Linked DNA regions of Coturnix japonica. The main gene of each other region encodes a partner of the protein of the gene in region 3 in a complex. Links are inferred from orthologs where the notes say so. Each region holds a gene or a part of one and is shown on either strand. Other genes may lie near its edges.

Region 1 (10,048 bases), on a different chromosome or scaffold from region 3:
CCAGGTGTGGTGTCCCCACAGCCTCCATCGCTGGGCCCTAATGTGCTGCTCAGGTAGCGATAGTTCACATAAAAGCCAACAGAACCTTTCCAGCTCCTTCGTGATAACGGGCAGATGATGAGCAGGGCTGGCAGATAGAGTTTGCTTCTATTTCTGGCAGGCTCGGAGATGCCAGACCTTTGAGAATCACGTCGTTCTGACTCTGCTCCTGCTGTTCTCCCATTGCTGTCCTCCAAACACCAGGATTCCATTTCCCAAACAGCCTTCAAGCGTGCACCCCTTTGTCCTTATTAACTGCTGCTGGAGGCTCTGCTGATGAGCTTTAACTGCCTTCATTGGAGGGGGAAGGAGCCGTGCACCCCACACAATGATGCCAGGCTGTGTTCTGCTTCCCATTGCACACATTGCTCATTCCTGAGCAGCCTCACAGCTCCTTACAGGCAATGCTGTACAGTGCGAAGGAGCTGCATGTACAGTATCCTTATGGCACGTCCCCATTTGACAGGGCTTAACTGTGCTTGGCAGGGCTCTGAACCTATGGAGGAATCACATCGGGGTTAAGCATGGGAGGAATGTGCTGAGGATTAAAAGGTCACCATTGACTCAAGTCGCCCTTCTGCTTGGGGATCATTCACTCACAGAACCGCTTTGCTTTCCAGCTTTGTGCAGGGCTTTGCTTTTGATTCCCTCTTTCCTGTATGGGGGTTTTTCCCACTTAGCAGCAAAGGGGGATTGGGAACGTGGTGATGGAGAGCTGAACCCATGGGCAGCAATGGAGCCTGAAGCGGTGTTATGCTTTTATATGAGTGATTCCTTGCAAAGGCTGCAAGGGAATGGTTTGGTGGAGCTGTGGTTGGTGTGGTTTGGGATACCTGCAGTGGAGGTCCCATTGTGCCCCATAGCTCAGCCCCATAGAAGCTGGTCATTCACATTGTGCTGGCTGAGGGCACACATCACTCCCTGCAGCACACACACGGGGTGCTCCAGCTGCCATCACAGTGCTGGGTTATCTGTGCATCTCTGTGAGCTCCAGCAGTGCTTGGTGGGAGCCCTGCATGCATTCCTTTGGCAGCGCTGCTGCTGTGCAGCCCTCATGTCCTAGTGATGCGTCCCAGCTGCCTGTGCAGGGCGCTGTGCCCAGCTCTGTGCTGCTGTCACCCCGTCCTGTTGTACAGCAGGTTCCAAGGCACATCCCCATTGAGCAGGAACCTGCAGTTACTGGAGGTGGAGCTGCAGCACGAGGAGCTCCCTTATTACATCGTCCTGCTGGAGAAAGGCCTGAGCTGTCCCCAAAGCCATTCCCTGCTGCTGCTACTATGAGGAGACTGAGTCAATTCAAAGCTATTTCTGCAGCCAGCTGCTATTTTAGGGAATCAAAGAGCGCGGTATGGGCTGCACTGATCCTGCTGTGCTGGCAGATCAGGCAGCAGGGAAGGAACAGCTGCTGTGTCTGTGCTGCTCTGTGTTCCACGCTGGCACTCGACATACATGGGCACGTTTAACCCTTTGCTCCTTGTCTTTCAGCTCGCCACCATAGAGCCGGGCATGAAGTTCCACATGTACACAAAGGAGGAGCTGGAGGAGGTCATCAAGGACATCTGAAAGGGACACGGGCTCCTAAGGCTCATTGCCCCGATCAAAGTGAACTGACTCAGTTCCTCCCACTACCTGCCGCTTGGTTTCCAGCAGCATCTCACAAGGCTCCCAAAGGTGTTTTTTTTATTTACAGTCTGTACATAAACGGATCCTGACAAAGAGGAAGCGATAATAAATCATTTTGTTACTCTGTGCTGGGCTCTGTGCTAAGGGGGGGGGTTAACATGGAGCAGGTGAGGACAGCACAGCACAGCAGGGCTGCAACCCATGGCTCCCTCAACCCATGTCTCCCTCTCGTGGAGGACACAGGCTCCATACAGCCCCATGGCAGCCCCATGGCAGCCCCATGCCATACATGGGCCGTGCCCAGCCCTGCAGGTGCCCCTGGACTTTGTCCTTTAGGATCACACCCCTGTGCCAGGCTCGGGCTGTTGCCCCATTCCCTGCTGTGCTGCTCCTCGCCCTGTTTGTGTCCCCATAGAACAAAAAGCTGATTCTTCCAGCTGTTCTATGCTATAGAATGGTGCTTTGTGCCCTGCTCTGGGGCACGGCACTGCAGCTGGGGGGGTTTAAGGGCTGTCCCTATGGAGATATGGGGCAGCTTCCCCTTGGGGGGCTCCTTTAGGGCCTCTGTGTGTCCCCAGAGCTGCAGTTCTGCCCTAAAACTGCGAGTTTTGCCCCCAAATTGGCCATTGGGACCCCAAACCAGCTCCAAGTTGGGCGCTGTGTCCCCAGACTGGGAGCTGATGACCCACTGGTGCCCCATACTGGGGTTATGCCCCCAAACCCACCATTTATGGCCCCAAACCCACCATGTCTGTACCCCAAACCCACGACTTATGCCCCCAAACCAGCTGTACCCCATAGCCATGCTCTGTGCCCCATAACTATGCTCTGTACCCCATAACCATGCTCTATACCCCATAACCACACTCTATACCCCATACCACGTCTATACCCATAACCCACACTCTATACCCTAACCACATCTTCTATACCCCCATAACCCACGGCTCTATACCCCTAAAACCATGCTCTGTGCCCATAACATGCTCGTATACCCCATAACCACGCCTCTATACCCAAACCACCAACTTTCTATTACCCCATTTAACCACACTCTATACCCCATAACCATGCTCTATACCCCATAAACCATGCCTGTACCCCATAAACCACGCCTCTATACCCCATAACCACGCTCTGTACCCCATAACCACACTCTATACCCCATAACCATGCTCTGTACCATGCTCTGTGCCCCATAACCGCGCTCTATACCCCATAACCATGCCCTGTACCCCATAACCACGCTCTATACCCCATAACCACGCTCTATACCCCATAACCACACTCTATACCCCATAACCACGCTCTATACCCCATAACCACTCTATACCCCATAACCATGCTCTGTACCATGCTCTGTGCTCTATAACCACGCTCTATACCCCATAAGCCATGCCCTGTACCCAACCACACTCTATACCCATATACCACACTCTATACCATAACCCACGCTCTATACCCCTAAACCATGCCCCTGTACCCATAACCATACTCTATACCCCCATAAACCATGCCCTGTACCCAAACCACACTCTATACCCCATAACACGCTCTCTTTACCCCATAACCACACCTCTATACCCCATAACCACGCTCTTTATACCCCATTAACCATGCCCTGTACCCCATAACTACCACTCTGTGCCCCAACCCCACTCCTCGTGCCCCCCCCTCGCCCTGCTACCTGTCGCCTCGACCAATCAAAAAAATCCGCTCTGCCGCCCCCCGCTCCGCCAATCAGCGCGCTGTCGTTAGGTGGATCTGAGCCCATGGCCGGTCGATGAGGGGGGCGGGCTCGCCCCCATCGGACTAAGCACAGCGAGCCAATAGCGAGAGGAGGATGGCTGTGATTGGACACAGAAAGTGAACCAATCGGAAACGCCACCGCTGCGGACGCGGTTAGCCGGCGTTGAGCGACATCCTTAGAACCAACACGCGGCGGGGCGTGGCGAGAGGGGCGTGACGATGGAAGGCATATCCCCCCCGTTAACCAATGGGGTTGTGGCGGACGGGGAGGGGCCGGCGGCCAGGCCGGCGATGCGGGCGCGGCGGCGGCGGCGCCGGAGTCGCCATGGTCCCGCGCGGGGCGGCTGCCGGCTGGTGCGGTTCGGTGCTGGAAGCCCGGCTATTGGGGCTGGTGTCGGTGCGGCCGAGCACCGGCGGGGGGCGGCAGGAAACGGCGGATAAGCGGGGATTGGAGGGGACGTCACGGCCGTGCTGGGAAACACAACACGCAACAGGTGAGCGACGCGGGGAACGGGATGGGGACGGACGGACACCGGCGGTCACGGGACAACGGGACGGGACAAGCGGACACAGAAGCGACCGGCGAGGGGGAGGAACGACAGCGACAGACAGGCACAGAACAACATAACAGACCCGACAGACCGATTAGGACGACAGGGGACAGACGACAGACACCGGACAGACGGACAGACAGACAGGACCGGGCTGTCGGTGTCACCGTTGGACACAACGACACACGTTACAAGCCGGTCCCCCATTCTAACCCCCCCCCACCCCGCGCTCCCCGCAGGGCGCGCCCCGCTCTTGCCGCCCGGCCGGTCGTTAATTGCCGCTAATTGACACCCGGGAGCGGGATGTGGGCCGGTTGCTGCCCGGTGTCCCCCGTCCGTGTCCCCGCTCAGTTCGTTCCGTCCCGTTCTCTCCCTTTACCTTGTAAGGGACGCGCCGCCAGGCCACCGACCGCTGATGCGGGCTCCCCGGACGGCGTGACGGTGGCCGTGCCATTTATTCATCCTTTAGCGTGATCCCTCCCATGCCCCATTGCCGGTCCCCACAGCCATCCCCATATGCATCCCTATATCCATCCCTATATCCCCATATACATCCCTATATCCATCCCTATATCCCCATATACATCCCTATATCCCCATATACATCCCTATATCCCCATATACATCCCTATATCCATCCCTATATCCCCATATCCATCCCCATATACATCCCTTATATCCCCACTATCATTCCCTGATATCCCATATCATCCCTATATCCCATCCCTATATTCCCCAGTATACATCCCTATATCCATCCCTATATCCCCATATAACATCCCCATAACATCCCTATACATACCCCATATCAGTCCCTATATCCGGGGGGGGGCGGTGCAAGAGAGTCGAACCCCATAATACATCCCTATATCCATCCCTATATTCCCATATACATCCCGTATATTCCCAAGAAGCTCCATTCCCTATTTCCCTATACCACCCAATATAACATCCCCACATCCATCCCTATATCCCCATATTACATCCCATATAACATCCATACTATTACATCCCTATATCCCCCATAACATCCCTATATTACATTTCTATATCCCACAATCCATCCCCCAGTATTACATCCTGATCGCCCTATATCATCCCATCATTCCCCATGTGACACAATCCCTATATCGCATCCATCATACAGTCCCCTATATCCGCCATATACTCCCCTATAATTCCCCATATACATCCCTATAGTCCCCATATACAATCCCCACCATCCATTCCTTGTATCCCCATATCCATCCCTATATCCCCATATACATCCCCATATCCATCCCTATATCCCCATATCCATCCCTATATCCCCATATACATCCCCACATCCACCCCACACCCCCTTGATCCCCACATCCCCATGCCCTGTATCCACCTCCCATGGTTGGGGTCCCCCCCTGCCCGTGACCCCCATTCCCTGCTCACACTGAAGGCTGTTCTGTTCCTCCCCATCTCCTTCTCTTTCTCTCAGTGCGTCTTCGATGACCTCAGTGGCTCCGTGTCCCTGTCCTGGGTGGGCGACAGCACTGGGGTAAGATGTGCAGGGGGTGCCGCCCCATTGAGGGGCTGTGGGGGCTGCAGACCCCCCTGTGATGAGCTGAACACGCTGTGATCCCGCAGGTCATCCTGGTGCTGACCACGTTCCAGGTGCCCTGGGTGATTGTGATCTCTGGGCAGTCCAAGCTGTACCGCAGGTATCGATACACCCCCCAGACCCCAATCTAATGTGGGGAGTGGGGCCCTGCAGGCAGTATGGGCTGCTGGGGGGTCCTGGTGGTGCTGACAGCTGAGCCCTGTGCCGTCCCCGTACAGTGAGGACTATGGGAAGACCTTCAAGGACATCACCAACCTCATCAACAACACCTTCATCCGCACCGAGTTCGGCATGGCCATCAGCCCTGATAACTCGGGGAAGGTGGGAGCCCCACACCCTGCCCCAAACCCCCAACCCCAGCCACTGACCCCTACCCATAACCCAAACCCCTAACTGAAACCCCAACCCAACCCCCCAACCACTGACCCCTAACCCAACCCCCCGACTCCAACTGTTAACCCCTATCTCTAACCCATACCCCCAACCCCAACTATTGACCCCTACCTCTAACCCAAACCCCTAACTGAAACCCCAACCCAAGCCCCAGCCACTGACCCCTATCTCTAACCCAAACGTCAAACCCCAACTGTTTGCCCCTACTCCTAACCCATACCCCCAACCCCAATCATTGACCCCTAATCCAAACCCAAACCTCAAACTGAAACCCCAACCCCAGCCATTGACCCCTAACCCAAACCCCCAACTCCAACCATTAACCCCAACCCAAGCCCCCAATCCTAACTATTGACCCCTAACCTAAAACCCCAACTGAAACCTCAACCTAAACCCCCAACCCTAACCACTGACCCCTATCTCTAACCCAACCCCAACCACTGACCCCTAACCCAAACCCCCAAGTCCAACTGTTAACCCCTACTCCTAACCCATACCCCCAGCCCCAATCATTGACCCCTACCTCTAACCCAAACCCTTAACTGAAACCCCAACCCAAGCCCCTAACCGCAGCCACTGACCCCCAACTCAAACCCCCAACCCCAACCATTGACCCCTAACTCAAACCCTGAACTGAACCCCAACCCCAGCCATTGACCCCAAACCTAAACCCCCAATTGAAACCTCAACCCAAACCCCCCAACCCTAACCATTGACCCCTACCTCTAACCCAAACCCCCAACCCCAGCCACTGACCCCCAACTCAAACCCCCATCCCCAATCATTGATCCCTAACCCAAACCCCTAACTGAAACCCTGACCCAAGCCCCCAACCCCAACCACTGACCCCTAACCCAACCCTGAACTGAAACCTCGACCCCAACCCCTGCCATTGACCCCTACCCCTAACCCAAACCCATAACTGAAGCCCTAACCCTAACCTGTCCCCTACCTGTTAATCCAGCCCCTGACCCTCCCCCTGTCCCTGGCTGAGTTTCCCCTGGCGCGGTGCTGAGCGCGGTGCTGTGTCCCACCCCAGGTCATCCTGACGGGTGATGTATCTGGTGGCAGTCGCGGCGGCCGCATCTTCCGCTCGTCTGACTTTGCCAAGAACTTTGTGCAGACGGAGCTGCCCTTCCACCCCCTGGCACAGATCTCGTACCACCCCCAGGACTCCGACCGTCTGCTGGCGCTCAGCACTGATGTACGGACATGGGGGGGGATATGGTGGGGAGGGGGACGTGGTGGGCATGGGGTATGTGGGTGAGGGTAGGGGATGTGATGGGGATGGGGGATATGGTTGAGGTTGGAGGATATTGTGGGGATGGGGTCATGGTTGGGGATGTGATGGGGATGAGGATGTGGTTGGGGATGTAGTGAGGATGGGGACATGGTTGGGGATGGGGTCATGGTGGGGATGGGGGATGTGGTGAGGGAGGGGGAGGTGGGTGAGGGTGGGGGACGTGGGGATGAGGATGTGGTTGGGGATGGGGGACGTGGTGGTGATTGGAGACATGGTTGGGGATGGGGATGTAGTGAGGATGGGGATGTGGTCGGTGATGGGGACATGGTGGGGATGGGGTGTGTGGGTGAGGATGGGAGACATAGTGGGGATGGGGACGTGCTGTTGACCAGTGGCATTCATCACTTACAGAACGGCCTCTGGGTCTCCAAGGACTTTGGGGAGCACTGGGAGCTGATCCACAAGGCTGTCTGCTTGGCCAAGTGGTGAGTGCCCACCTGGTGGCTGTGCTGTGGGGTGGTGCTGCCCCATCTCTGCCCCCATCTCTGCCCCCATCTCTGCCCCCATCCCTGCCCCATCTCTGCCCCCATCCCTGCCCCATCCCTGCCCCCAAGCATTGCCCCCATCTCCTCCCCCATTCAACTGCCCCCATCTCTGCTCTCTGTTCTCTTCCAGGGGTGCAAACAACACCATCTTCTTCACCTCCTACCTGAACGGCTCCTGCAGTGAGTGCCGCCCCTCTGCTTTCCCATGAGGAGCGTGGGGCGCCCCATTAACCCGCTGCCCCTTGTCCCCTTGTCCCCAAGAAGCTGACCTGGGCTTCCTGGAGCTGAAGAAAACCACCGACTTTGGCAAGACCTTCAAAGTGATCGGCACCAAGATCTACTCCTTCGGGCTGGGCGGCCGCTTCCTCTTCGCCTCCGTCATGACCGAGAAGGTGGCTGTCCCCTCCCTGCGTCCCCCCCGTCAGCATACACAGGGCTGGGCTGAGGCTGTGGGTCCCACAGGGCTTCACGCGGCGCATCCACGTCTCGCTGGACCAAGGGGAGAGCTGGAGCATGGCACAGCTGCCCTCCGTCGGCCACGAGCAGTTCTACTCCATCCTGGCAGCCAACGACGACCTGGTGTTCATGCATGTGGATGAGCCAGGAGGTGAGTGGGGCTGGGGGGGGAATGGGATGGGAATGGGACAAGGATGGGGATGGGGTGAGGATGGGGATGGGGATGGGGATGGGATGGGATGGGACGGGGTGAGGATGGGGGTGGAGATGGCGATAGCATGAGGATAAGGTGAACATGGTGATGGGATGGGGTGAGGATGGGGATGGCATGAGGATAAGCTGAACATGGTATTGGGATGGGGATGGGGAAGGTGTGATGATGGGGATGGGATGGGGATAGCATGAGGATGAGGTGAACATGGGGATGGGAAGGTGTGAGGATGGGGATGAGGTGAGGATGGGGATGGGATGGGGATGGGAATGGGGGAGGATGGGGATGGCACGAGGATAAGAACATGGGGGTGGGATGAGGATTGGGGGAGAAATGGGATGGGGATGCAGATGGGGATGGGGATGGCATAAGGATAAGGACAACATTGGGATGGGATGAGGATGGGATGGAGAAAGGATACAGAAGGTGTGGGATGGCACAAGGATGGAATGAGGGTGGAGATTGGATGGGATGAGAATGGGGATGGAGACAGGATGAGGGTGATGTGAGGATGAGGATAAAGTGGGGATAGGATGGAGATGGGATGAGGATGGGAGCAGAGATGGAATGGAGGTGGAGTGAGGATGGGATGAAAATAGGGACGGGATGGGGGTAGGAATGGGGATGAGGATGGGGTGGGGATGAGGATGGGATGGGGATGAGGATGGGGTGGGGATGGTGTTGATGAGGTGAGGTGGGTTTGGGATGGGGTGGGCGCTGTGTGCAGCTGACACACCACATCAATGCACCATGAAAGCTGCTCTGCAGCACAGCGCCCTGAGCCGGGCAGGGCTGTGCCTTTGAGGAAGGACTTTTTCTCATTAATTCCCTCATGAGGAAGTTAATTAACGGGCAGTGGCTGCAGGGAAGCACATTCCTGGCATGGAGCGTGGCCAAGTGTCCACTGGGGGTGGTTTTCTTCCGTCTCCCTGCATGGAGCTGGTGGGTACACGGGGACCCCCCTCCCCATTACCACCACCCCATCGCCCCCCAGACACCGGCTACGGCACCATCTACACATCAGACGACCGCGGCGTGGTTTATTCCAAGTCCTTGGAGCGTCACCTCTACACCACAACCGGGGGGGAGACCGACTTCACCAACGTCACCTCTCTGCGCGGCATCTACATCACCAGCGTGCTGTCTGAAGGTGATAGCTCGGCTCTGGGGGGCTTGGGGGTGAATGTGGGGCTGGGGCTGTTCAATGGGGCCGCGCTGCCAGCCCCGCTGAGCCCCTCTGCTCCCTGCAGACAACTCCATCCAGTCCGTCATCACCTTTGATCGAGGTGGGGAGTGGGTTCCGCTGCGTAAACCCAAGAACACGACGTGCGACTCGACGGCGCGCAGCAAGGAGGAGGTGGCTCTGTCCTGTGTCCCCAAGCAGGGACACGTGGCCCCATTCTTACCCTCCATTCCCTCCTGGGGTGGGATGGGGATGTGTGGGGCTGGGGGTGTGTTGGGCTGAGCCCACCCTGATGCGTTTGCTGCTTGTCCTTGCAGTGCAGCCTCCACATCCACGCGTCCTACAGCATCTCTCAGAAGCTCAACGTGCCCATGGTGCCGCTCTCTGAACCCAACGCCGTCGGCATCGTCATCGCCCACGGTACAGGGGGGGTCTCCACGTCCCCATCCCCAACACTCAGT
Region 2 (9,932 bases), on a different chromosome or scaffold from region 3:
TGCTCTGTTTTCCACTTTCCTATTTTCTTTTAAATCTGTCCAGGGACACAATGCTGGGGTATGAGATCATTGCTCTGTGCTGGGTGTGACCCCTCTACTTTGCCAATGCACACACCAATGTGTTCACACTGAAGAGTCTCAGCAGTTTCCTCTGCTATGAAAATCAGAGGCAATAAATATCCCATGTATCAACAGTTTTGATTTAAAATACTCTCCTGAAATCGTTTCAGCCAAATACAGTAAATAACGTGCAACAGTTGGGAATCCTTTATTGCTTATCCCAACTAGCAATACTTCATTTTGCAATACGCTGGGTAATGCAGTGCTTGTAAGTAATGATGCAGTCAATATTGTAGTCAACAAAGCTGATATATGCCCAATTTTCTATCACTCCTTTCTTCCTTGTGCTCCCCAGGACTGTATCTTACCAACCCACTTTAGACACCCCTGACTTTTAGGGATGCTTGAAGAAGGGAGCACCTGTCCCATTGATTTCAATGGGACCCGACTTTATAGGTTTGAACCAGTAGTCTGCTCTAACAGATATATATGATGGGGAGCTGTGACCTCAGCAAAAGGAGAAGGTTGATGCTGTCATTTAACGTCTGTTTCTTGCAGAGCTTTCTCTTTGCTGCTTTTCATGTCCTTCAGAAAAATCCCACCCGGAGAAATCAGACTGCAATAGGGTTAACATGAAAAATTCCTAGTGGTCCCAGCTGCAAAGGGAAAAGCAAAGAAGAAAAACACTTGGGTCAACATAAAAGGGAGTGAGGCAATCTGGGGGCCTCGTATCCTGGTCACTGTGGGACCCTCAGCTCACAGTCCAGGAAGTTTTAATAGGCAAGGTCTTTAGGTGATATTTTCCTGCAAGATTTTAAGTAAATGCCTTGCTGTAACATTTGAGATCAAGAGCCTGTTGGTTTCCATCATTCTTTTCTGTTCTAAGCCACAGACACACACATACAAAATATATTAAAACGAGCCCAGCTTAGCTAAAAGGTCGTCTAGTTCAGAAACAAACAGCAGGGATTTAGGCTGGAAGCTTTAGCTCACAAGTAGAGAAGGGTGCACCTCCAGCTCTGCTTTTGCTTGAAGGAGGATATGGATTACCTCCCTGCAGGGAGCAGAAGTGAAGGAGAGAAGAGATGGTTTGGCATTCATTTCAATAACCCACACAAGGAGAGGGACTGTGCATATCCTTCAGTGATGCACAAGTAATGGGGACACTAATAGTGTGTTGGGAGATGCTCTCTGCTGGATGGTGTCTTTGCTTGGCACTACAGTTCTGCCCATTCCAAGGGAAGGGTTTTCAAGGCTCAGCTCTGCACCACAGGTAGGTATCCAGCTCTGTAAAAATGATGTGAGGACAGAAGGTAGAACAAAACCTTCCTATAAAGATATGAGAGACGCTGACCCTTTTCCAGCTCCTGATCCACATGATCAGGCTTTCTTTTATTTTCTTCTTTGCTTGGTGACCCGTGCTTCTGCATGGGGAATGGCAAAGCTGCATGTCAGCAGGCAGACTCTGGGAAGGCAGCATACTCAGGCTCAGCTAGGATAAACTGTTGGTAAATTTACCAGCACTGGTGTACATTGGAGAGCCACATCATGATTTCACATCTAGTCACGCACTCATGTTCTCTGATGACTCTACAAGAGGTGCAAGCTAGCTAGTTGACTTGATAGAGGAGCAATGAGTCAATATTCTTGCTATTCAGCCTCATCTGCTAGGAAGAGCTGAAAAACAGGTACCTTCCAATGAGATTTTATGAAAGCGGAGGTTTGGCAATTGACATAAACTGCAGCAGCCTGATGAAGTGCTGATGGTAAATCAACAGCTACATTGATTCCAGGTAGCTGATATTTCAGAGTGCAATTAGAATTCTCTTGTAGCAGCACCTCTGGGTATTCTCTGCCAGCATTTGGCACAGAGAGAAAGTGGAGAAGTTGGTACCTGCAGCACTTGGGAACAGCTGCTGGGACAGAGAGAGGAGATGTAGTATCTTCCTTGTCAGCAGCAGTGCCTGCGTTGCCTGTGTGCAGAAACACAAGGCAACAGAATCCAAAACAGAGCATTTCTAGAGACAGCTATTGATATAAACGTGCACAAACACACTGGAAAATTAGACCAGCTGATGGGTATCTAGTTTATGGGGATAGCAATTGCTTTCCACAAGGCCAAAACGAAGTTACAGGGCTAGGGACAATAACTCTTTGTTATGGACAAGAATCCCAAAGGAACTCTTTCACTGCCTCAGGGAGGAGTGCTTTAGTGCAGAAGCATGGCTTTGGGCTTGGATCACAGGACCATAAGCTACTGTAAATGGGGGGCTAAGGAGTAGGAACATCGGGAACCTGAGAAAAGAGCACAGCCCCCACTGCAGCTGTACTTCAGACAGCAGCACAAGGACATGGAACAGGGGGTGAGAGCAGCTGGGGACCCCAACCCTGACAAATTCCTATATGCTGACAGAGACCTCATAGAAAAAAACTGTAGATAAAAGGAACACTGGTGCTAAGAAATTATTAGTCATTCTTTAAGCCAGTGTGGGATGAATGCTAGAAAACATTTAAATGACTACATGAGACTAAATAAATCTGATTTTGGTCAGCTTTCTGTGGTGACGCTGTTTGCTGGATATAAGAGAAATTTGGGGGAACGTTGGTTGTTGGTGGCTGGCTGTGTAAAGTCCACTGTAGGCATGCAGAGATTATTTGATTGACTGCAGGATTAGATGTCTTGCATCAAACAGATAAGTGGTGTGCAAGGCGTCAGTGCACTCAGAGCCCACCGGTGTTTGGAAACACAACATCTGTCAGCAAATAAATTCAGACAAGTTATGGTTGCCTTCGCCAAATCAGTGGATGGGAAATCCCTGGATGGGATTTCCTAGATCTCTGTGCAATAGTAAAGAGCTTTATCATAAAGACAATCAAGTAAACAGCCCACTGAGGTTTTACAAGACAACATCCAGCTCAGCACCCCGAGCTTGAGAAAGTAACCACCAATAACCCCTATCCCGGGGAGCCCTTTGCTGCAGGGGATCCTTTTATCACCCACAGCATCAACGTGGCATCTTCACACCCCCTGCAACAGAACAGCTCATAGAGGACGGTTCATCCCCAGACTGGAGGATGTGGAGCTAAAGGAAAAGTGACATATGGGGATCAGAGCAAAGCAGCTCGCTGCTGATGTTGCTGAGTTGTAGGGCTGAGAAGTCTCAGGGCAGAGGTAGATATTTTTATGCGTTTTAAATGCATTTTAAATGCATTCCTCCTAGAAGTAGCAGAGTGTGTGGGATGCTCACAGGGCACGGGAATATCCAAGGGTGCACTGCTGGTGTCTCTCATGACTTGGGGATAGAGTTGAAGGGGGTAAATAGGGCTAGGGCACTTTCCTAGTCCCCTGCCAGCCCTCTCCTTACAGCTCTGCCTCTGTGCCTGACTTTGCATGGGATGGAGAAGTGGGGTTCCAACGGGAGAAGGGGGGCCCAGTACCCGGGGCTCCGCAACCTCCTCTCCCCAGCCCATCCTCTCCTCCCCATCGGCTCCAGTTCGGGCGCCGGGCTGGAGCTGCCGAAGCCGCTTGGCGGCGGGGCTCGGGCAGGGGGATCCGAGAGGAGGGGCCGCCTCCGGGGCCGGGGGAAGGCAGTTCGGGGGGCGGCGGTGCGGCGTGTGCCGGCGCGGCTGTGCGAGGCGGGCGGTGGTGTGCGTGTGTGTGTGCGTGTGTGTGTGTCTGTGTGTGTGCGTGTGCGTGTGTGTGTTCAGGGAAGCTCCTGCCGTACCCGGGCACATCTGGGCTCCGGGAAGCTGCAGGGAGGAGATTCCAAAGCTGCGGGCTGCACACAGAGCGGCGAGGCTGCTCCGGCGCTTGTGTCTGTCTGTGTGTCACACACTCACACACGCACAGCAGCCCGGCAGCGGTAGGCGCCTCCTCCCCGCCGCATTAAAACGAGCCAAGTTTCCTCGCTGGGGGCAGCGGTACGTCGGGGCGGGCGGCGGCTCCGACCTGCAGCCCCGGCGGGGCGGCCCGGCCACGGGATGCACCCCAACGCCACGGCCCCGGCCGTGCCCGGCGGCTCCCAACACCTCCACCCCAACGCTTCCAACCGCTCCGACCTGCTCTCCAAAGGACCCGACGAGGAGGATCTGGACGTCAACACCGATATCTACTCCAAAGTCATGGTGACCATCATCTACCTGGCTCTCTTTTTAGTGGGCACCGTGGGGAACTCCATCACAGCGTATACGCTGGTGCGCAAGAAGTCGCTGCAGAACCTGCAGAGCACCGTGCATTACCACCTGGCCAGCCTCGCCTTCTCCGACCTCCTCATCTTCCTCCTCTGTATGCCCATCGAACTCTACAACTTCATCTGGGTCCATCACCCCTGGGCTTTCGGGGGAGCTGTCTGCAAGGGCTACTACTTCCTCCGGGATGCCTGCACCTATGCCACAGCGCTTAACATCGCCAGCCTCAGCGTGGAGCGCTACATGGCCATCTGCCACCCCTTCAAAGCCAAGAGCATCATGTCCCGCAGCCGCACCAAGAAGTTCATCAGCTGCATCTGGATTGCCTCCTTCCTCCTCGCCATCCCCATGATCTTCACCATGGGGGAGATTTATGCTAAGGATCAGGATCCGGATTCCATCATCTGCACCACCATCGTGGACACCTCTACGCTGAAGACAGTCATCCAGGTGAGGACCCCGAGCAGTCGGGGATGGGCAGCTGCCTCCTTCCCCGAGCTGGAAAAACCCAAACTTTGTCGAGGGAAGGACAGAGTGGGTGGGGGAGATAAGGCTGGGGAGCCGGCTTTGGGAAGGGGGGGAGCGGAGCAGCCCCGACAGAACAGAATGGGACAGAGTGTAGGTGAGCTCTGTAGTTTGATGGGTGGGGGGATGTCGGCTGTGTTTGCTGTGCCCCATACGGCTCCTGCCCCCCAGCGCCAGGCTGAGCACCGGGGTGAACCCCACAGTGAGATAATCTGGGCCCCGGGATACGGCAACAACCCCCCCCCATCCGAAGCAGTTGTCCCTGCTGCCCGCACACAGCCTGCCCTGTCCCATAGCGGGGCTCTCTGTCCCACATCGCAGGGATTTGCATGCAGAGATCCTCAGCCTCTCTTTACACCCCCTCCCCTTCGGCTGGAAAGGGATGAGCAGCATCAGGGCAAATAAACCCATCTTTCTGCTCCACTCTCCCTCCCAGCTTCTTAGGATGACCCACAGCTCATTTCATCTGTGAAGTAGCAGACTGATCTCAGAAAGTTTTGGGCAGCCAACAGGAACAGCAACTGCAAAGCTGGCAGCTGCTATTTTGGCTGTTTGGAGAAAATCATAGCTGGTCTAACTAGTGGCCCCCTCCCCGACTTCAGAAAGGCTTTGCTGGTCTCCATGCACTGCTTAATCTAACACTCCCATGAGTGGAAAGGATTTCAGCATCACCACTCACAGCACTCTGAGGGGTTGAGGCATTTGTTCACTGGAGCATTAGGCTTGAAAAATGTAAGAGAAGTGGAAGGAACGGCAGAAAGAGCCTCCAATCTCCATAGCTCCTTTGCCTCCAGGCTTACGTATGATAGCTTCTCAGACTTCTATATGAAACATGAATTTCAGGTGGGTCTAATCTGGAGCCAAAAGCCTTCTAAATGTTCCTGCAGGTAAAGAATTTAAATGGAAACAATGATTTCACCCTCTAAAAGTGGGTGAGGATACAGACAGGAGTAAGCCCACAGACTGCAGATGTTACTGGATGTCTCTCTGAGTTTCCCACTGTGCTACTGCTCCAGTGACCAAAATCCAGCCCCAGTAGAAGCTCTGAATTCCCTCCGAATTTTGTCTTCACACCTAACTTTCACTTTCAGATCATGGAGGTTGTTTCCCCTGTAGCTTTATAGCTTTTCTTAGAGGCAGCCCAGTGTGCTTAACCCAAATTCTCTATTCTCTAAGGAGGAGTGAGCCGTCTGATTTAAGAACAATGTGGCTGGAATGCATTATTTCTACTTATCTTCCTTTAAGGATTAAACCCATGCTTTGTGTTAACACGATAGAGCTGAGGATAGATTATTTCCTAGCCATGTCTATGGAGATTGAACAATTCTCAACATATTTTACAGTCTCGCTGTTATTCAGGATCTACCTTATCCTGTTACCCGAGTAAAAGACAGGCAGACATTAATGCATTGTGTATGAAGTTTGCCTGTGGCCTCTTCCTTACATTTTTTATCATCATTTCACTTGTGAATGTACTGAAAGTAAAAGGAAGGAGGCAGCTGTGGGGGAGGCAGGGGAGCAGAATACTTTTCCTTCTTGGGAACCTGGCTACAAATGTAGATTTGTTAAGATAGGAACTAATATCATGGCTTGGGGCTCATTCCTCAGCACCCAACCTGAAGCAGGGCCCTGGGTCAGTGAGGGCTGCAGAGTGAGTAAGCAAAGCAGCTGCAAGTCGGGTTTGAAGTGCATTAAGGGAAACCATTGCACAGCGTGTGATCGAGCATTCTCATGTTGTAAGCTGTGCAGGGGTTTTAAAAAAACCCAACGAATAATGGAAGACCTGTGAAGGAAAGGGCAATGGTAATGCGTGAGAGTGATGCACAGAGGTCCCACAGTTCAGATATCCAGAGCCCTTGAGTTGTGCAGAGGGCTGAGGATGCTTCAGAGCAGGTCTCTACATCTCTTTCGTTCATTTTCTGCTTTTAAATTAATCAGAGCAATGATACATTTGCTCGAGCTGGCGAATCTATCGTATTAAATCACTCAACATATTTCGCTCTTCCTGTTTGGCCAGCTGCCTAAAGTAAATTGGGATTTTTTAAATTCTTTTTTATTTATTTATTTTTTTGAATCCATCGGTTCTCCAAGAGGTTTCATTTGGTGAGTAATTGCAAGCCAGGCCCTAAACACAGCAAATGTAACCATTTATAGACTCAGAGCTCAGTGCTCACACTGCGGAGCCCAGGAAGATGTCCCTCCTTGGGTTGGAGCCACCTCAGAGTGAACACTGGACGTTCTCATTGAAGGCTCTTTCTGACAAAGTTTCTGACTCTTTGCTTGGAGTCTTTAAGGTCTGATGGACATCCCCAAAGGGAACTGCACTGTGTGCACAACTAAGTTTCCTTATAAAAGGGAACAAGAGTTAACCATTCAAACAACACGCCACACACACAATTTCTGCTCATATTAACACGTACCACTTGATCTGCGCAACTCTAAGAAGTAATTACTGGCATTCCTCTAGTAATTACAGATTGCTCAGTGCAGCACACTGCTAAGCAGGCAGAGCAACACATGTGTGCTCTGTGGGGTGTCACCCATCAGCACCATGGGGTGCTGAGCATCCCTCCTTGTGCCATCACGGCGTGAGCTCCGTGCGACCTCTGGCATTTAATTCCTTACAGCAGCTCTGCTTCCCAGCTTTGTTTATCAGCAGCCTTGCAGCTGCTGAAGTCAGGCTGGTTTATTCTGTTCTCCTCAGTGCCAAGCTTGCCTGTTCCTTCTGTCTGTTAGGGGTGTCTGGTTTGGATGCTGGCATCGTTTTGGGATCTGGTCACAGGAATAAGTCCATTATAGTACATCATTTAGGTCTAGTTAACACTTTAACTGGCACACATCCTCTAACACATGCTGCAGCCAATTTTATGGTGGGTTGTTTTTTTTTCATACAAATTAAGCACCTCTCGAAGCCATTTCCATACAAGTAAATTAATGTTTTCATGCCACTTCAGCTGGAGGAGGTTATAACAGCTGCTCTTTATGGTACCACCAGATAAAAGAGCTGTGAGGCAGAGCGACATGTGGGCTCTGCTCCCCTGCGGGTCAGCACTCGTGCTTTTGGCTGCTTGTGGTTCTGCTCTCAGAACAGGAGACCCCTCAGTGACTGCCCCACATCCACCAGCATTCACTGTCCATCCTGTTCCAAAAGGACCTAAATTTTACTGTCTGGGTGGCAGTGCAAATACTGTTTTCCTTTAGTGCCATGGTGCAGCATAACCCAGAATGTCCCCCGGGCTCTGACTGGGCCACCTGCAGCCTTTTAGCCTCAGTAGGGTGGTTCAGGTTACCCCTTTCCAAGCCTTTGCTGTTTGTATTCCTGTGTAGGGTGTCTGATACACGCTGGTGGTTTATCCCCACTCTTGTGTGGCTGCAGCTCTCCCACCCTGCAGGTCCATTATCTGTTGTTTTATGAAGTCTGCTCATGGTACAGTAAATAACACAGCACATGAAATAACAGGTACTCTGCTTTATTTTCTCTTGCATTGAAGTAACGTGCTGAAAGGCTTCAGATCTGATGGGATAAGAAGGAGGGAGCAGACACTGGGGCTGAGGATGGAGGAGCTCTTTCTTGCGTGCAAGATCTCTCACACAAGACAGCTGGCCTGAACGCTTCCCTGGCCCTAAGCATGATTCCAAGTTCACCTATTCAACCCCCATTTATCCAAGGGGCCCAGCATCCCACACACAGTATTGCAAACACTCTTTTACACCTTTTCCAGTGAGGACATGTGGCAAGATGCCTGGCAGGTCCATGGGGCCCTGAAAATAAACCTGGCAAGCGTCTCTTCATAGCACATGAAAAGCAGCAATGAGTAAAACCAAAGGGCTGAATTCTCTCCATATTTGCTGGCATATCGTATCCAGGATTAGTCAATGGCTTCAGTTCAGGAATTCTGCGTTCATTCTAATGCTGGCTAGAGGAACTGAGGCTGGTCTCTTTTCCTTAAGTCACAGCCAAATTCCTGCTATTGCTTTTACTAGGAGGGCTGTTTTCAGTCACTTACATGGTGATAATCCTACCCCTGGAGCCTGGCTGATAAACTGTTATGAATAGATAAAGGTACAGGGTCTCTGCCCACCAGGGAAGCCCACTCAGCAGCAGCACAGATCAGCTCCTCTGTGGCAGGACTATGTCTGATGCAAGGTTTTAAAAGTCCCTCATACCACAGACTGCACAGGTGTCCATAGGACTTTAATCCAGCAAACTCAGCCCACCCAGTCCCAGGCCATTTACACATGCTCCATCGTACAGCTGGATCTGACTTGAGCAAGCTCCTGTGTTTGTTGCTTTACGTAACTGCTTGGCCTGCTGCGTTCTGCCAGTTCTTACATAATTTCTTCTCTTTCTTCCCCCCCAATTGATTTTAATTCACTTGATATTTTTTCCCTCTCCAACCCCCTTCTCGAGTTGTCAGCTGGAGGGAATCAAAAGTGAGGAAACATGGCCAATCAATTCAGCTCTTATGTTTTCCTCTTAACAGCGCCTTGTAAGAGCAGAAGAGATGAAGGTATTCCAGTGGCTCCTCTTCTCAGGGAAAAAGAAAAAATGCAGCTGCCTTTAATCTCCTTCCAGATCAGTTAAAACAGCTATTTAATAGTCTTCTCTCTCCTTCCCCTCCTTCCCTTTAAAGGCTTTTTCTATCACTTCTGTGCAGTATCTGCTGGAGATGTGCAGATGGCATTTGTGCCTCCTGTGTCCTACCCAACACACCTGATGGCCGCATCCAGGGGTGGGGGCTCTGGACACCAGTGGTGTCACCGTCCCATTTCTCAGCTGTGAAAGTGGTGTGTGCCATTGTCAGGAGAGAACAGCAGCTGAGCAAAGTGTCCAGAGAAATTGAGGGTATGGTGGGACCCTGAGCTGATGGGGTCTGAGTGTTGTGACCATTGAGCCCTAAAGCAGGCATTGTGAGATGCCAACATGGCAAGCCCTGGTCCTAGCATCCCTCTTTTCATTTCAGAAAGCAGGTGAAGCTCTGTTATTACACTCCCAAGCTGCCTGGTTGTTCTCCAGCATGGAGCACTCACGCCATGTGAAGCTGGATGCGTTTCCAATGCCTGCACTCCCTTATCTCCACTGCCCACATCCCTCTCATCATTCACACTGGTGTGGCAAAGAAAAGCAGATTAGAAACTCTGAGCTTCTTACTGGGACC
Region 3 (9,972 bases):
GAAACTTTAAAATGTAAAGAAATAATTTCTTAGCCATAAGATGTGTACAAATCTGTGCTGATTTGCAGCTCTTTGCAAAATATGTCATAGATTTGCTGTGTTTTAAAAAATAAAATCTGATTCAGACAATAACATGAATGCTTATAGGGTTTGTTTGTTTGTTTTCTACAGCAGTAAATTTGAGTATTATTCTATTGGTTCTTTAATGTTTCCCTAAAGTGCACAACCTCACAAATTTCAAATATCATATGACAGAATGCCTGAAGGAGAGGGAATTTAGAATAGAGGGGATGCTTAATGTTTTATTTACTTAGGAATGATCCAGTGTGTGAAATGTCTTCCCTGACTTCTGAGTTATTTTATGATATTGTCATCAGTAGCACAGATGGTCTCCAGTGTCTTAAGATTTTAAGCATATGAACACAGCGCTAAAATCTGAGCATTACTGTCCTGACTAAACTGAATGAAAAACCCAAGACGTATTTTGTGCCAAAGAAAGTGATGCTGCAGACTTGAACTACCTGAGAAATTCATATACATTGTCTACCTTACGCTTCAGATGCTCTTCTACTTTGCTTGAGCCGACATGATAGAAATTAATGTTACCAGTTTTCTATCAAGCAAATTACCTTAAACTGCTGGTAGCCAAACTGCTGTAGGGGCAAAGCAGCTTAAATCAATTACATTTGCATTTGATATGATGAACTAGCACCTTGAGCCAGTGTGCTGTTTAAAATATTTGTCTTGTGAAATAACTCTTAGGTGAATGAATTTTGAATGGTTCATCTTCCAGTTCCATACTTGTTATACCTCCTGCAAGGTTTGAATACAACATCCCTCTCCCCCATACAAAAAACACACACAAACACAAAAATCTCAGACAAATTAATACATTTAATATCAAAATACAAACGGCCTGAATTGTATCTCATTTATTCTCACTGTGCCTGTTTTTGTTTCTAAGGCATAAGACTGTTAACTAGAAACAACGACTCTTCCTTATTATTGTCTCCAGTATCTTCTATGGCGGAGTGGTTTTCTTCTCTTTGGTGCTTACATCTTTTGTGTTAGGTGTCATCTGCATGTAGAGATGGTAGTTTTAGGTTCCAGTGATGAAGTAAAGTAAATTAAGGTTCATGTATCTGTTCTTTAATGAATCTACCAGTTGCCTGATTGTTTCACTATCTTCAGATGCCTCACAGTTGTGAATGGAGATGATCTGTGGGTATTGATAGACTGTTTAAATCACATGTTGAGGGCAAGCAGATAATGTGAGATTCCCACGTGGACCAACACTAATGAAGAGCTACACATGTTTTCTCTAGCTGAGAAATACTTAGGAAGAAAGAGGGAGAGAAAGAGTTCTAAGAAGAATTTGTTTTCCTTATAAATGCTTTTCTGGGACATTCCTTTGCAAGAGCAAACTTTCTCATCAAGAAAAGCTTCAATGAAGATGACTTGGAGAAGTCAAGGTGATTTAAGGCATTAATTATTAAAAGGCTTAAAAAATACTAGTATGTAAGGAACAGAAGAAGCTACAGAAGCAGGAAAGAGTTAGAAAAAAGAAAATACAGGAATACTGAGGAAATAGAAGATAGTTCAATTCTACTGAGGAAAATATATACATATATATATATAATTGTCTAAATTCAGTTGTGCCTAATCCAAAGCATCTAAAGATAATATGTGAAGAACATTCAACATGATAAGAAAGCGAAGATTTTTAATACTGAAGTTTCTGCTTTTACATTTCTATTGGGGGGGAAAAAAAAAAAAAAAAAGAAAAAGAAAAAAAAAAGACAAAAACTAAGCAGGTGAAAACAAAGCAATTATAAGAAATATTATGTCTCATAATATAACATACAGTCATTTCCTCGGAATCACGAATATTAGAATTCCATGGTTATTATTTTTTATTTTAAACCAATTAGGTGATCTTTTTTAATGGGAGGGAAACTGGCAATTGTTCTCTTCCTGAGGAAAAAATAAAACGTCATTCCTGTAAATTCCAGTTACATAAGTATATGGGCAATTACACTATTGAGGAAATCTGTGACAGAGAGTAGGCACTAGAAAATACCTATGAAATATGATTCTCATTCATAGAGCTGCCTGAACTGCAGAACACCCACAGAGCAAAATCAGCTGCAGATTGGTCTTTCTACATCACGGAAATAATAGAAAATGGGACTGGAGGGGAATGTGAGTGGCCATCTAACCTCTGTGCTAAGGCAGATGAGCTGTAGCTAAAACTTTAATGGCACACTAGTACAGTCCACACAATGTGATATATACTCCCTCCCTCCCACCCTTCCTTCCACCCTTCCTTCCTTCCTCCTTCCTCCCTCCCACCCTCTCTTCCTCCCACCCTCTCTTCCCTTCCTTCCCTTTCCTTGTCTTTCTTTTCTTCTCTTTCCTTCTTAGTAAGGCAGAAAATGTGTTCCCATCAGTATGCAAAAAAAAAAAAAAAAGCAAACAAAAAAAACAAAAAAACCAAACCAACCCAGAGCTAATACCACTGGAATGCACTCAGCTGTATTTTTGCATGCATTTATGCATCTACAAGCAAACAAACAACAACAACAAAATTACAAATTTAAATTTTATCCTGCTACAAAAGTTGATCCAGGGAAGAAGGAAGAACTCTTCCCACTGGCTGTTCCCTGCAGCAGGGTTTTGAAACTTCTGCAGGTTTCCTGCTTCTGAAGTATCAGTTTCATGGCATAGACAGGCAGATAACGTAGAAAAGGATAACTGTATTTCAAAGGAAACTTTCTATAGCAAAGAGAACTTTCACGCAATCAGAATTCTACCAGTGCGTTCCTGCTATATATGGCATGTGCATCCGTACTTAAATGTATTCACAGGAACCAAAATGTTCTGCATTGTAATATCTCCATTCAACAGATGGAGCGTTTGTCTGTATCTGAGACAAATCACGCTATGAGCAGCGCCGCGATGGAGGCTGTTGCTTGTCTTTATCTTTTCATATGCACACTCCACGTTAAAGATTAACTTGCTCTACCCTCTACTTCAGACCATTTCCGCGCCTTTTTTTGTTTTTTTTTTTTTTACTACCGATCTCTAGGAGGCAGAGGAGAGACCGGGACAGTCCGTGACAGCTCCCAGCCTCTCGCTGCCACCTCGACCGTCCCGGTGCAGGGCCGTCCGCCCCGTGCTGCCTCCACTTCGTCCCGCGGTGCCCCACGGCTTTCACCTTCGTGCGCTCTGGGCGCTGACCGCGGAGCCCGCTCTTACTGGGTTGTGTTACCAATGTTGTGAAATTCAAGCAGAACACTTACACCTTAGGATGAATGTCTTGAGGGAGAGCTTACTCTCCTTGAAACAGCAGCTGTTGTCTCTCTTTTCGGAACGGGTAGTCTGATTGTGGCAGACGTTAGCATTTCTTAGCACCTATGAAAAACCTTTATCAAGTGACTTTCCCGTTATCTCTCGCTCTCACATAGACTTCATTTGATTCTATTATCCGCTGTGCCCCCCCTTCTACTCCCCTCCCCGTGTTTCCCCACGCGGCAGGGAAAGCCAAACCGACGATAAAGCGCATCCCGCGACGGCCGCACGACGTGTTCGCGTCTCTGCGCAGCCCGTGACCCGGCGCATCCCACACGCAGGTGTCCGAGCATCTGCGGAAACTTTTGCTGTTCATAAGTAATTATCATATCTGTAGCTGGGGGCTTTTCGAGCTCGACGGGCAGGTCACTGCCGGGATACGAGCACTCCGGTGCGTGGGTGGGAGTGGGGATGCTGAGCGCCCCGCTACGCGCCCCGCGGGGCTCCGCGTGCGTCAGGCGGGAGGTGGCGTCAGCGGCAGCGGGCGCGGAGCGGCGGAGGGGAGCAGCGTGAGCGGGGGGGAAGGAGAAGGGGGAGGGGGGACTGTGAGGGGGAGGGGGGAGGGCACTTCATCATGAGGCGATGGCTGCACAGCCGTGACATCACCCTGAGGCTTATATAGTTGGGGAAGGGTCCGGGTCCCCCATCTGGTGCCTGCTGCTGCCCGCTAGTGCGTGTGCTGAGGCGCGGAGCGGCGGCACTCTCTCTGTGTGTCTGTCTGTCTCTCTCTCCGTCTCTCCCCAGGATTTATGGACTTTACTTTCTAGAGAGCGGCGCGGCAAGGATGAAAGCTCAGCTGGTGTGCGTGGTGCTGCTGGCCTTGGCCTCCTGCAGCCTCTGCTCAGGTAAGCCCTGCCGCGCCCTGCGCCCCGTGCCTCCGTGCGGCGGGCAGCACCACGCGGCCGGCCGCTCCCGCAGCCTCGAGCGAGACCAAACGGGGCGGGGTGCGCTCACCTCGGTCTGAGGCTGCTGATCTCTGCGGGCGCCCACGGCTCGCACCGAGTGGGCTCTGTCCAGCATCACGTTGTCCATCACTCCCGTAATTTACGCCCTATCTGCAAACCATTCCCCTCAGCAACATCGCTACCACGATTGTTAGTGCAGAGTGGTCATTGAGAAACGTCGATGTAGACTGTCCCATTAATTTTGTTGCTGCATTTGTGATATTTGAATCCCGGGTATTTCCAGGCTATCACAGGTGCTGTGTTTTCTTCTTCCTTCCATCAGAGTACAATTCAGCATTACTATATATGTACTGTAGACACTTTTTAGTAGCTGAAGTACAGGTTTAGGATTCTGGGGGGAAAAAAATCACTACTAATGATTTCAAAATGAAGACCAAATGCTGGTCACAAAGATGCTTGTGTTAGATGTAAGTGCATTTCTACTCTATGATCAGTTGATTTAGAAACAAAAAAAAAAAATAGGGTCATATCTGAAAATGCACCACCAAGTCATTTGGAAAGTGATATAGCTAAGAATGTGTTATTTAGATAATCAGTTTAGGATTAAAATAATAAAAGAAAAGAATTGTGGCAAATAAGCAGGTGTACAGTGACAGATGCATAGCAGAATAAGCTTCAAAATCCAGTCTCACTGGTGTACAAATTGCTGTTTCTTGTAAAGGTAAAGTGTAGATTTACAATTAGATTAATTTTTCAGCTTAAGTATCCAGGAGGACTCAGAACTCCTTGTTTTGGATGCAAGTTTCCAATGTGCATTTCTCCACAGAAACAAAATGTAACACATTTAAATTTGAATTTTGTCGTGGCTTAAGCATAATCATTTTGTGTACTTTACAGGGCTGGTGTTCTTAGGGACAGGGTTAAAGTTTATTATTTTTTATACATGTATATGTAGATTTTCAAGCAAAACCATGATTCATATTTTCAGTGAGGCAATTTAAATTTCATGAAACACTAAAGTCAAAGATTTGAGTGGAAATTAAAATAGACTCATATAAAACCAGCAAAATTGAATGTGTAACTGACATGATGGTTCATTTGTTCAGAAATTTGGAATTATATTTGAATGAGAAATGTCATAGAGAAGTTTGTGCTGAAAAGCCAAATCAGTTTTTACTGATGTGGACAGTTAAGTCATTAGGAAAATGATCAATCATTTTCGTTTTATTTTGAAAATATTTGCCCTCAGGAAAGTGTGTTCTAATAGAAGACAATTATTTCTGTAGAATGTAAATATACAGAAAGAAGCTGTATTTCCTATCGATAATAAGGTAAGCATAAAAAAGACAGCAAAGTGTGTGGATTTTCCTCAGATCTGCACAATAATCTGTAACCAGATTGCTCTCTTGAATATTTGCTCTTCTTCTGCTTTTACCTATCATCTGTCTTTTTCACTCCTGAATTATCTGAATATGTTCCCTTTTCCTCCAGGCTTTGTTTCATTCTTCACCATATGAACAGTTTCCTAAGTAATATCCTCCAGACTTCTTTTCTCATTCAAAATGTTTCTTAATAATCATCTATTCAGCAAGCTTTCCACTTCTGCATCTGTCTTGTACCCTTGGTGGTGGGGAAACTACGTTCTGTTCTATCTACAGGGTTCTAACTAGATGCGAATCATTTCATTGCTACAGAATACAACAAATTGTGATGCTGTCATGCGTGCACTATTCACTCATTTGCAAGACCTACTATCAGTAGTCAAAATTTATCTGAGGTGAACTTGTGCTGCCAGCAGAAAGAACTTCATCACTGATGAAGCTATTGAGAGACTAGGTAATCCTGAAAACAAGTAGTGCTGAAATGGCTGAAAGGCATTAGGCTCTAGAGAAGTTGCTAGTGACATGCTGTTACTAGTGACTTTACTGCTGTCCAGTCTTTACCAATATTGTCAGTAACAATTTTTAAGTAAAAACAGTAAGTGTAGCGTACTGGTAATACAAAGCTGAACATCAGCATCACTACAGAGGAAGACTGACATAAGGCACAGACATTTTTTGGTGACTTTAATACAAATGGAAAGCAGTATAACTATACAAAGTGATTGTTTAGGAAATAATATTCACTTCTATTAAAAACTCCTTTTAGCAGAAGCACAACCAATAAAAATGTCTGAGGAGACAAAGAACGTGGTGATAGTATCTGACCTTACTTGAATTAGGGGATGCCAAGATTTTTCAGATATGAAAGTAGCAAAAGCCAAAAATATTGCAGAAAGCTACTTCCTTAGCAAGTGGTAAGCATAAAGGTGGTTAAGAACTGAGACTTCTGAACTTGCCCTTGCTGTACTGGGCTGAGATCAGTGACTTAGTGAATAGATGGCTATTGTGTGAGAGTAGACTAGATCAGAGACAGAAACAGACAGTCTAATAGATCTGAGCATAGCCCTTCACCAAATAAATGTTCATGGAGTTTCCAGAAGAATGGCTTATATCCAATAGACTATAGCAGAGACACGGTAACTTCACATTAGTTTGCTGGTCACCATTTAAAAACACCTTGAAGATCCAAGTTGAGAAAGATTGTGATTGCTCCCAAAAAACAGCAGCTAAGTAACTGTTAGTTAGTAGAGGTGGCGGGTAGTAATTATGAAAATCAGACCGATTTTGAATGAAGAAAGTTGCACCAGTGTTTGTACTGAAACAGCTGAAGATTAATGGGCCTGTCTAGGGGTTGACAGTGAATTCTTTCGTTTATGTTAATAAGCTTGATTGTGCACTGAAACGTAGTGAAGATCCATTTCAAAATACAGTTTTGGTACCAAAAATCTCATAGTCACATTAGAACACATTGCTGTGAATCCACTTTTATTTCTGTTTCCCTCCTCTGCCCCAGCTCGTTTGTCTATCTATATTTTGTTTGTTCAATTCAGATGTCCATGATTTACGATAAGATAATGAACATATGTTACTGGTTTATTCCCAGATTCAGAAGAGGAAATGAAAGCACTAGAAACAGATTTATTGACCAATATGTATACATCAAAGGTAATTATTTTTTCTCTTTTAGTTGATAGTTAGAAAGCAAATGAATTCTCATTACAAACCTGAAAGTCTTTACACAAAGTAATAACTTGTGGTCCAGACCTGAAAGTTCAGTGCTAGACATTGCTTTGGTGCAAGGTTTTGTCAGTTCAAAGGAAATTTAAAGGTGTTGATGTGACACACACAAAAAGTGTTCCTCACGTATAACATTGATACTTCCATTAAACTGTCGAAAATGTGTAGAGGGATGAATTTATAAGAAGAAATGTGTTCCCAATAAGATTATGCCTGCTGAAAGCTAAATTAACCTTTAGACAAATCTCTAAGTGAGATTTTTATGCAGAACTTTTTTTTCTATGTGCATATAAAATTATGACAGTCATAAAGCAAAATCTGTTAATACATATGCTGATTTTGGTTTAGGAATTTCATTATAATGTTAGTACAAGAACATGGGGGCATGACTATGAAACTATTAATCTGGTAAATGACATTTCCTTGACAAGTAGCCAGACTATGAATGATGTAGATGTTATTTAAAACAAGTAGACAAAAGTTCTGTTCCAAACTCATACTAACGTAGGTGAAGTAGCAAGTGTTGCACATATGTATTGAACAGGCTGACAGACACATTCTCAGCACTGTTATTTTCCACAAATGATCTAAGAAATATGTATGTCTAGTGTTTCTTCAGCAATACTTTGAAGAAAAAGCTCCAAAACAAGATTCATAAGCTTCAAGTTGAATGATTTCATGCTTGGTGCTTGGTTTCACTGGTAAATAAAATTATGTATATTCTGTATTTTTTTGTATGTGAGCTTTTTCACAGTATCATTTGAATAAACCAGGATAAGAAATGAGGCTGAAAAATACATTGTTCTAGTCTGATCTGTCAGTTCTTAAGTTCCCACATTCTTTACTGGCATAAAGATCACAAACAAACCTGTTTGCCACTGGCTTCTCTAAAGAAAGATTTAATAGAGATTATTTCCCAGAGACAAATTTTAATGTTCTTTAAATAGTTCTTTCTCTGCCTGCCAAACCATAATATGCCCTGGGAAAAAAACCCTGCAGCTATTCTATTGCTGCTACTGATTTGAGTCGGACTGTGACTGTAAATTCCACTTCCATCTTTCCTTCTCTTTTACCATAGAGTACAATCTCAGGTAACTAAAAATGCTGAAATACAGTGCACCTGTTGATAATACAAAGATGTTTGTTATATACTATTACGTGTTGTTTTACATCGTGTAACTTACTTTTTAATGGCTTTATGTTATATATACTGCAAGTGAATTGACACTTGAGGTTGATATAAACAACAGATAATGGAGACATTTTAATTCTAAATGATAGAATTTTAAATCATTATTTCAAATTAACTAGTATAAAATGTACTCTTTCTTGACAGTAAAAGGCATAGTGGAACCACTAAGAAGGTGTATGAAACTACAAGACATAGATCCATTCATTACTGAAATAATTTATTATTATTATTATTATTATTATTATTATTATTATTATTATTATTATTATTTGGCCTCCGTTAGTTTTTACTCTTCATTAGAACAGAACCATGGTTCTGATCTAAAGACTAATTTTAGGATGGCAACTATGATACCTGACTGGCTTTGTGCCTGAGATTAGTCTCCAGCTGAAGGCAATTACCATTAAATTGTATTAATCATATTTAACACTGACTTGATAATCAACAGCAAGGGAAATCCAGCCAATTTAAACAGACTCAGTGGTTCTCAAATCACTTATGTTTCTGCTATTTCACAGAAAACTTCTAGCTATGTAGCTACTTGTGAAGTATGGTATCAAATGTATGCAATATTATGGCCTTTTTTTTTTTTTTTTTACTGTATTCTTTTGACTTCACAGACTGTTGACAAGTGTCTTCTGGTCTTTTTCAAACTACTCTTTAAAGTCACCCATGTGCTGAATATCTCTCCATATTTAAAAATTTGCATTCATGCTTTCATGAACTGCATTCAACTTTTAATATAGCTTATCACTTTTCTCCCCGTTACACCTTGGAGAAGATACAGGAATCAAGCAAGACCATAAAAAGCTTTATATATCTATCTTCTAAGATAAAGTCCAAAGAGCCTTTTTGAAGATTTAGTAAGATAACCTGAAGTATCACAAATATACAAATTATTTCCTGCTGTCTTTTGCATCAAAATGATAGATCTACTCCCAGCTTCTTTAGTGCTAACATGAATCTACCATTTGCATGAAGAACATCTTGCCATCTTGATCTCAAACAAGACTGAAATGCTATTAGTTCAAGAGGGAAAAAAAAAAAAAAGTTAATTGAAGGAATCATCATGACCAGAATACACATTTGAGATTCCTACTTACATGAATTTTACGGAATCTTGAGTTCTCTGAGCTTGAATTCCTGTTCCTTACTGTATATACCTAGAAAGTTTAGCCTTCGTATCAGGCAGATGAGGCTGCAGCTGCCTAAGAATTTCTGTCTTCCAGACTCAGTTATTGCAGTTATTGCATGCAAGTCCTTATATTTATATAGGCATTAGTATATGTCATAGAAGAACTTCATTCTTAAAGGCAGAAAATATTTTCGTTATTATTTCTACTGTTATAGTCTGAATAAATTCAATCACTGTTCTGAAAAGGAACCATTGAAGCACCTATGTAAG

Evidence for each region.
Region 1: the proteins of NTS (region 3) and SORT1 are in contact, whole or in part, in a crystal structure (PDB 4PO7), measured with the Homo sapiens proteins. The link is inferred for Coturnix japonica from reciprocal best matches to the Homo sapiens genes NTS and SORT1. Residues at the interface, in NP_006174.1 of Homo sapiens: Leu152, Tyr153, Glu154, Asn155, Pro160, Tyr161, Ile162, Leu163; in NP_002950.3 of Homo sapiens: Val112, Ser113, Leu114, Ser115, Trp116, Lys260, Tyr304, Ser305, Phe306, Gly307, Leu308, Phe314, Ser316, Arg325, Ile327, Phe350, Tyr351, Ser352, Ile353, Tyr395, Gly399, Thr570, Gly571, Leu572, Ala573, Trp586, Trp597.
Region 2: the proteins of NTS (region 3) and NTSR1 are in contact, whole or in part, in a crystal structure (PDB 4BUO), measured with the Rattus norvegicus proteins. The link is inferred for Coturnix japonica from reciprocal best matches to the Homo sapiens genes NTS and NTSR1. Residues at the interface, in NP_001095851.1 of Rattus norvegicus: Arg157, Arg158, Pro159, Tyr160, Ile161, Leu162; in NP_001102437.1 of Rattus norvegicus: Ser53, Asp54, Leu55, Asp56, Asn58, Phe128, His132, His133, Tyr146, Met208, Val224, Cys225, Thr226, Pro227, Ile238, Arg327, Arg328, Phe331, Cys332, Tyr333, Ile334, Ser335, Asp336, Trp339, Phe344, Tyr347, His348, Tyr351.

Annotation. Positions count from the first base shown.
Region 1 is NC_029541.1:1,577,813-1,587,860, reverse strand, and holds the start of SORT1 (sortilin), read left to right. Parts: upstream 1-5,307; 5' UTR 5,308-5,322; coding exon 5,323-5,493; intron 5,494-5,582; coding exon 5,583-5,656; intron 5,657-5,774; coding exon 5,775-5,877; intron 5,878-6,988; coding exon 6,989-7,153; intron 7,154-7,603; coding exon 7,604-7,677; intron 7,678-7,867; coding exon 7,868-7,917; intron 7,918-7,998; coding exon 7,999-8,129; intron 8,130-8,199; coding exon 8,200-8,344; intron 8,345-9,398; coding exon 9,399-9,554; intron 9,555-9,654; coding exon 9,655-9,761; intron 9,762-9,904; coding exon 9,905-10,007; intron 10,008-10,048. Other genes in the region: PSMA5 (proteasome subunit alpha type-5), read left to right, coding at 1,525-1,602.
Region 2 is NC_029535.1:7,370,982-7,380,913, forward strand, and holds the start of NTSR1 (neurotensin receptor type 1), read left to right. Parts: upstream 1-3,699; 5' UTR 3,700-4,041; coding exon 4,042-4,698; intron 4,699-9,932. UniProt on the Homo sapiens protein: G-protein coupled receptor for the tridecapeptide neurotensin (NTS). Signaling is effected via G proteins that activate a phosphatidylinositol-calcium second messenger system.
Region 3 is NC_029516.1:38,339,557-38,349,528, forward strand, and holds the start of NTS (neurotensin/neuromedin N), read left to right. Parts: upstream 1-3,898; 5' UTR 3,899-4,135; coding exon 4,136-4,196; intron 4,197-7,241; coding exon 7,242-7,303; intron 7,304-9,972. UniProt on the Homo sapiens protein: Neurotensin may play an endocrine or paracrine role in the regulation of fat metabolism. It causes contraction of smooth muscle.